2 linked regions of the Oryctolagus cuniculus genome follow. The protein of the gene in region 1 purifies or fractionates together with the protein of each later gene. This does not show direct contact. Links are inferred from orthologs where the notes say so. Each region holds a gene or a part of one and is shown in the gene's direction. Other genes may lie near its edges.

What was found. The genes of interacting proteins can lie anywhere in the genome.
Region 2: the proteins of BLK (region 1) and HSP90AB1 purify together in Homo sapiens (affinity purification with mass spectrometry; 3 studies listed by BioGRID and IntAct, with this or other methods). This does not show direct contact. The link is inferred for Oryctolagus cuniculus from reciprocal best matches to the Homo sapiens genes BLK and HSP90AB1.

The regions. Positions count from the first base shown.
Region 1 is NC_091433.1:42,965,490-42,968,966, reverse strand, and holds the end of BLK (tyrosine-protein kinase Blk), read left to right. Parts: intron 1-506; coding exon 507-657; intron 658-1,565; coding exon 1,566-1,697; intron 1,698-2,312; coding exon 2,313-2,518; 3' UTR 2,519-2,954; downstream 2,955-3,477. UniProt on the Homo sapiens protein: Non-receptor tyrosine kinase involved in B-lymphocyte development, differentiation and signaling. B-cell receptor (BCR) signaling requires a tight regulation of several protein tyrosine kinases and phosphatases, and associated coreceptors.
Region 2 is NC_091436.1:125,882,802-125,886,872, reverse strand, and holds the start of HSP90AB1 (heat shock protein HSP 90-beta), read left to right. Parts: upstream 1-1,268; 5' UTR 1,269-1,475; intron 1,476-2,628; coding exon 2,629-2,775; intron 2,776-3,110; coding exon 3,111-3,317; intron 3,318-3,400; coding exon 3,401-3,560; intron 3,561-3,651; coding exon 3,652-3,785; intron 3,786-3,895; coding exon 3,896-4,071. UniProt on the Homo sapiens protein: Molecular chaperone that promotes the maturation, structural maintenance and proper regulation of specific target proteins involved for instance in cell cycle control and signal transduction. Undergoes a functional cycle linked to its ATPase activity.

The DNA.
Region 1 (3,477 bases):
GCAAGGTGAAGCAACTTGCAGAGGGCCCGGGGTTCCCACTGTGGGCTCCCCAAGGAGAGGACACGCCCTCCTCATCCTTCCCCGCCCCCTCCTGTTCTGCTCCCTCCCTCCGCAGACACCTTCCTTGCCCTTGCCTTGGTCCTGCTGCCCGCCTTCCCCACAGACACTCGGACACTGCCCGGATGCACAGGTGGCCCCTGCGTCTCCGCCCACCGTGTCCCTGCCGTGCCGGGCTTCTGGGGGCCTGGGGTTGAGCTGGCTGGGGAGCACTGCCTCCCACGTGCCTTCCCTAGCCACAGTATCACCCCCACGCAACCACCAGAAGCAAGCAAAAAGCCCACTCCAGCCTGCCCTGACCTCCCTGTATTGCTAGTGGGTGGTAAGGTGGGCTTGGCAGGCGGGCTGGTGGGTGAGGGGCTTAGGGGCTGTGCGGGGGATGCTGGGTGCATGCACCCCCGCCCCCGGCCCCCCGCGCGGCCCTTCACCTCATGGCCTTGTGCCCTCAGATTGCCGAAGGCATGGCGTACATAGAGCACATGAACTCCATCCACCGCGACCTGAGGGCGGCCAACATCCTCGTGTCCGAGGCGCTGAGCTGTAAAATCGCTGACTTTGGCCTGGCCCGCATCATCGACAGCGAGTACACCGCCCAGGAGGGTGAGCGGGCCTGCCCTAACCCCGGACTCCACAAGCCCCCGTGGGAAGGGACCTCAGCGTTGTGAGGCACCCACACCTGCACCTGCACAATCGCCTGTCCTGGGTGCATTGGGCAGAGCAGACCGTCCACAGGGGAGTGGCTCTGCAGGGAGACAGGCGTGGGGGTGCTGCCTGGAGCTGATCCCCAGTGCACGGCACCACAGCAAAGGCACTGAGAAGTCCTGCAGTGACCTTTACGTGTACATAGGCCTCACCTCCAGTCCCCCAGCTATTTTGAGCCCCAAATACTTTGCCCGTTTGGTTCCTGTACACTGTCCACCAAAGCAGAGTTTCACGGATCAGACTTTGAGCAGCAGCGCCTGCACCGGGTCAGGCTTCCCCCGGAGCACTCTGCCTCTGTCTATCGCAGCTCGGGAGAAGCGAAAGTGAGCATAGGTGTCGCTGTTAGGCGAGCACAGTAACTAGTGGGTCCAGGTCCAGGAGGAGAGATGGGCTTGGTCCCTCAGTGACCGAGATAGCAAGGCCACGGAAAAGCTCAGGTGGGCACAGCATGGGCTGCTCAGAAAGACTCCAGGATTCGATTCCTGCCTCACAGCACCCCAGGGAGGCACCCACATCACCTGCCATCTCCAGGTTGCAGGACAAGTTCACGTGTGCGGGGAGGGGGAGATTCTGCCATCCCGGATGGACGCACTTTTATGAGGTCCATGTGCCCTCCATGCAAAGACCCAGAGGGGTGATGGGGAGTGCTCTTGTGTCCTGGGGTATCTTAGTGACTCCTGGAGGCAGCTCTGCTGTGTCCAGGAGCCGAGCCCAGCAAGGCCCCAGAGCGGGGGCAGGCTGGGGGTGTGTAGGGGTGCGGGCACCAAGGCACCACCTCTCAGAGCCTCCTGGGGCTTTTTCTGCAGGAGCCAAGTTCCCCATCAAGTGGACTGCGCCCGAAGCCATCCAGTTCGGGGTGTTCACCATCAAAGCAGACGTGTGGTCATTTGGGATCCTCTTGATGGAAATTGTCACGTATGGGCGGGTGCCATACCCAGGTAGGCTGTGCCCCACAGCTCTCCCGACGCTGCCTGGCTCCCCATGCCGTCCTGGGGTGGGGGTGGGGAGACCGGCGCTGCCCGTGCTTGCCACAGCCAGGTCCTGTCAGAGACCCAGGCAGGTCCCGGGGATGGGGGTGGGGTGGGATTGTGCTGCTTTATCATCTTTGCTCTGACCTCAAGTGAGCTCTGAAAACAGCAATCAGAGTGAACTCCACTTCATTCCCAGCCGATCTGTGTCAGCTGGGGGCAGGTTGTCTCTCCCTGGTTCTTACACCTGGGGTGTATGCCAGAGCCCCACCCTGAGCAGGCAGAATGCAAAACCCCCACTCTCCGCACCGCTCAGCCTGGCAGTCGGCCGGGGTGAATTTTCAGGGCACCTGCCCAGTGCGTGGCGGGTGTCTCAGGCAATCACAGATCATCATAGAGGATCCTCCCCGGGGGAGGCTGCCCATTCAGGAGGAAACGCACAGCCTCTCTGCAGCCTTTCTGCCAACCCTAGACAGAGACGGCCCGAGCCGGCGACCGGGAGGAAGCAGGGATCTGCGTCCTTGCGGCGCGCGCCCTCCCCGTGCTGAGCCTGGCGCCCCGCCCCGCGCTGTCCGCTGCCCGCAGGAATGAGCAACCCCGAGGTCATCCGCAGCCTGGAGCGCGGCTACCGCATGCCGCGCCCGGACTCCTGCCCGCCCGAGCTGTACCGCGACGTCATCGCCGAGTGCTGGCGGGACCGGCCCGAGGAGCGGCCCACCTTCGAGTTCCTGCAGTCGGTGCTGGAGGACTTCTACACGGCCACCGAGCGGCAGTACGAGCTGCAGCCCTAGGCGCGCGGCCCCGCCCCCTGGCTCACCTGTGCGAGCCTCGGGCCCGGGACGAGCCGCACCTGTGGACCGCTGCGGCTCTTCTTCAGGCCGCGGGCGAGCCGGACGGGCCGGGGGGTACTGGCGCACCCACGTCTCCGGATCAGGAACCAGGGGTAGAGGCGACCTCGCAGGATCGCCGGCTGGGCCCTGGAACGACTTCCCGAGCCCCTCTGTGCGTTGGCACCACGGGGCAGTACCGTGTGGCTTTTCACGCCTGTCGTTCGCGCTGACCGCCGCAGGGTTAAGCCTCGGGAGGTGCGCAGAGCAGTGCCAGCCCCGCGCAGGCGCCGCCGTGCGCCCGGAGCCGCGCCCTGCTTGCTGCCGGGGTGGGGGGCCCCCGACCCAGGCGGCACTCCGCACTTTGGGACTGTTCTGTAATAAAGTCGCAAGAGTCTGACCTTCCCCGGGTAGTTTCTGGCGACAAGACTGGACGACGCATACCCGCTGTGCCTGAGGGTCTCCGCCCGCGCGAGCCCTGCAAGACACAGGGTCTGGGGTTGAAGCTGAGTCCCGCCCCCGCAGGGCGACTACGAACCCCGTAGTGCCTTTTCCGACCGGCAGGGGGCGTCCTCACCCCACTTATCCCCGGCCCATGGACGCGGATCTGAAGCCTGGGCGCAGCTAAGGCTCTAAACCGATGACAGGGGGCAAACGCCAGGAGTCTGGCTTGGTGGCCACTGTTGTCGCTCTGCAGCCGAGGAAGCTGCCCTAGCGCCTTACCCTACAGATGAAGGGGGTCACCCAGTGCTCCACAGACATCTCCTCGGGGCCCTCGGGGCCCTCCTCTTGTCCCTGGAAGATTCTATCTCCTAGTCTTGGGCTGGATCTGCAATCGTGGTCCTTCAGCAGCAGTTCAGTGGCGCAAGCCTCGGCTTGGCCCCTTGCTCTCAGCCCTAGCTGCAGGGAGACCCAGCTGCGGT
Region 2 (4,071 bases), on another chromosome or scaffold:
GCGGTGAAAGGGACAAGGACATGGAGAGAGACCCTTGGCCCAGTGACGGCCGGGACGACCACGTGGACAGCGCAAAGAAAAGAAGGGTCCTCCTTTGTTCTCTGGAAGCCAGCATGCGGCCAAAGCTGGTTAAGGAGGGGGAACCGGGTGCCGGGGCTGGCCGGCTGGGGAGCACGGAGCAGGGCGTGGCCAGGGTCTCCTGGGAAGGACGCGGGTCCAGCAGACTTTCAGGGGACCCTTGGGAAAGGCAGGTCCGCCGGCAGCCGGAAGGCAGGCAAAGGGTCCAAATTGGGCCAGGCGGGCGCGACCCGCGGCTCCCTGGGCTGCCGCATGGCCGAGGGTCGCAAAGGAACTTGGTTCCCACGGGGCAGGCGACCACCGGCAGGGGTCCCTGGAGACCCTCCCCTCCCCCTGCCCCCGCAGCTAGAGACGCGAACGAGGGCGTAAAATCCGAAACCAGCTTGGGAAATAGCTTGAGGTGACCCTGTAAGCAGGGCGCCTCAACCAGTGTTTAGGGATTGGGGGGCTGCCGCGAAGGCTCGGGAAGGGATGGGCACCCCCAGTCTCGGCTTGGATGGAGGCGCCCGAAAAACATTTCCGCTGCCCGAGGTGTGCGGCCGGCGGGAGAGGCGGAGGGCCAGGTGCCCCTCAGCGGCGGGGCAGTGCCGCGCTCCGGGGGCGGACGAGGCGGGTAGCAGGGCCGAGCAGCGGCAGCCCACCCGCTCCGCCCAGGGGTCGGCCCGAGCTGCAGTACCTACACTGCCCGGGCCGCAGCGCGAGGGGAGGAGCCTCGAGGGGAGGCGGCGGCGGGGGCGGGGCCGCCGAGACTGGCCTGGAAACTGCTGGAAGTGGCCGCAGCACCGCTGCCGCCGCTCCTTCCGCCGCACGCCAGCAAAGAGTCCCCTCCCTCCCGGGCCGGCGCCCCTCCCCCGCCCCAGGGGGCTGCAGGCAGCTGGGCCGTTCGCCGGGAGGAGGGGGGATATATGTGGCAGATCCTAGTTAGACGACTGGGTGGGAGTGACTACCTCTGCTCGCTTCAAGTCCCCGTCGGCTCGGCCTCCTGGTTGTGGGAGGGCTTTTGGGGGAGCCGGTGGGGTCCTCGCTCGCAGATCCACTGTTGAGGCATATGAGCACTCTCAGTCCCTAATCGTGGCAGGGGTCACGCCCTGGCCGTGCAGAGAACAGGAGCTCACGAGCCCACACCGAGGCTGGCGGCTCTGGCTCTTCCCCGCCCGCCCCCTATTCCGGACCATGACGTCAAGGTGGGCGGGCGCCGGCAGGTGCGGGGCTCGCGGGCGTCCGCCTTTAAGGCGGAGGGATCCGGGGGAGGCGGCTGGGCTGTGCTTCGCCTTATATAGGCTGGCTGGGGGCTCCCAAGAGCTCTCTTGAGTCACCCCCGCGCTGCCTCGTGCCGTGTGCGGTTGGCAGTCCGGGCCCTCCGTGCTCTCTCGTGCTCGCAGCCCTTTCCCTTCAAGGTAAGGCAGCCGCGTCCCTGCAGGCCGTTCCCCCGCGGGTGCTGTCGCTGCGCAGCTCGGGAGCCAGACGCCGCGGTGCGGGGCGGCCCGTGGGTCCCCGCGCGCTCGGGCTGCGGGGGTGGTGCGTGGAGGCTTTCCAGCGTCCGGTCGGCCTGCACCGGCGCGCCGGGCCGGCGGCGCGGGGCCGCGGCGGGGGCCGGCTGCACGTGGTGGCCGCGCCGGCCCGGGGCGCTGCCATGTTTGCCCCTCCACTTCCGGACGCGGCTACGAGGGCCGCGAGGCGGCCGGGTCCGCGCGCGGGTGACTCAGCACTGCGCGCCTGGGTTGCCGCTGCTGCTCGGCCCTCGAGGTCCGTGCGGGACCCGCCGCGGGCAGAAACGCATTTGGCGTGTGGCAGGTCTTTTCCGCAGCCCTCGAGTGGGAGGGGACAGGCTCTGGAAGATTCATAGGCTCCCTCCCCCGCCCCTCCCCGAGCGCGGAGATTGTTCTCGAAGCTTCTGGAGCCCGATGCTCCGCCCCAGTGCCCGGATGCTGGGGCGATGGCGAGGCGCGCTGTGGCGCCCCCTTCTCGCGGGGCTGCGGCCGACGCATGTCCGGCAGTGACGAGGGTCGGTCCGCGGCCCCGGGCACCATTTTACTTGGGTGCGAGCAGGTGCTGGGGCGTCACGGGGCAGCCTTCGCCTGCTCTGTTCTTTGTCCCGCGTGGACTGCCCCGCGAGCCGGTTACCGCTGTTTCTCGGGTGTCAGTGTGCCCTGCCGCGTGGGGCTGCGATCGGGCCTTGGGCGCATCCACACTACAGGGGTAGAAGAGCTGCCTACGGGCGAGCAGTTTGAGAATAAAACCAGCGCCCACATCAAAGAGACGTGTGGTCAGTGATGCTGGCGTTTGAACGTGGGGCGGGAGTCCCTTGTCTGGGTTGGGACCAGCGTGGTGAGCGGCTGCTGGTCACCCCTGCTCCATGCTACCTGCTTGTCTGGTTGAGGAGGGCTTTGCTCTTGACCTGACTCGGTGGTTGTTAGTATTCACCCCACAGGTTTTAAGAAAGGGCGTGTCTTCAGTAACCCCGCCCAAAGCAGTTTAAACACCATCTGAATTTCAGAAGCGTCAGTTCTGGGGCCGCTACCTTCCTGATTCTTGACCCTCCTGTTCCAGATGCCCGAGGAAGTGCACCATGGAGAGGAGGAGGTGGAGACTTTCGCCTTCCAGGCGGAAATTGCCCAACTCATGTCTCTCATCATCAACACCTTCTACTCCAACAAGGAAATCTTCCTGCGGGAGCTGATCTCCAACGCGTCTGATGTGAGTTCCTTCGTGTTTCATGGCTGGCTGGGCTCCTCCCGAAGGGGGAAAACTGATTGCTATTGAAGGGGTTTGTCCGGGTGCTCCCTGGACGAGCGGGCCAGTGTGACCACGCGGCTCCTAGTCCAGTGAGGCCCAAGGTTCTCACTTCCAGGGGTATTTCAAGGACGCAATTTTCTGTTACCATTAAATGGCACGTTTATTACTCACTCTAAGAGTTCACAGTTCGTGTAGGATGATGGGGCAGTCAGAGTTACAGCGTGAGAGTAGCAATCCAAGAGGTTCCTAACGCTGAAGAGACGGCTAAGAAATCCGCTGTTGGTGCTGCCTTGCAGGCCCTGGACAAGATCCGCTATGAGAGCCTGACGGACCCCTCCAAGCTGGACAGCGGCAAAGAGCTGAAGATCGACATCATCCCGAGCCCCCAGGACCGCACGCTGACGCTGGTGGACACCGGCATTGGCATGACCAAGGCCGATCTCATCAACAACTTGGGGACCATCGCCAAGTCGGGGACTAAAGCCTTCATGGAGGCTCTGCAGGTAGGTGGCAGCCAGCCCTCGACGTGCGGCCGGGCCTCTGTTCTCTGCAGGACACGAGTCTGACCGTTCCCGCTTCTCTGCAGGCTGGTGCCGACATCTCCATGATCGGGCAGTTCGGCGTCGGTTTCTATTCTGCCTACCTGGTGGCCGAGAAGGTGGTCGTGATCACAAAGCACAACGATGACGAGCAGTATGCCTGGGAGTCTTCTGCTGGGGGCTCCTTCACCGTGCGCGCCGACCACGGTGAGTGGCCGGGAGGCGCTGCTTCACAGGGCGAGTGTGCAGCAGGCGGTCCTGGGGCAGCTCGCTCACCGCCTGCCCTCCTGGTCTGCAGGGGAGCCTATTGGCCGAGGCACCAAGGTGATCCTGCATCTCAAGGAGGACCAGACTGAGTACCTGGAGGAGAGGCGGGTCAAGGAGGTGGTGAAGAAGCACTCGCAGTTCATAGGCTACCCCATCACCCTCTACGTGAGTATGCTTCCCGCGGAGGCAGCCTGCCTGTGCTTCTGGTGGGCTGGGCCATTTGCTTGCCCTGAGGGTCGGTGCTCAAAACTGACGAGTGTTTCTGGGTGCTTTAGTTGGAGAAGGAAAGAGAAAAGGAAATCAGTGATGATGAAGCAGAGGAAGAAAAAGGGGAAGAGAAAAAGGAGGAGGAAGATAAGGAGGACGATGAGAAGCCCAAGATCGAAGATGTGGGCTCCGATGAGGAAGATGACAGCGGCAAGGACAAGAAAAAGAAAACCAAGAAGATCAA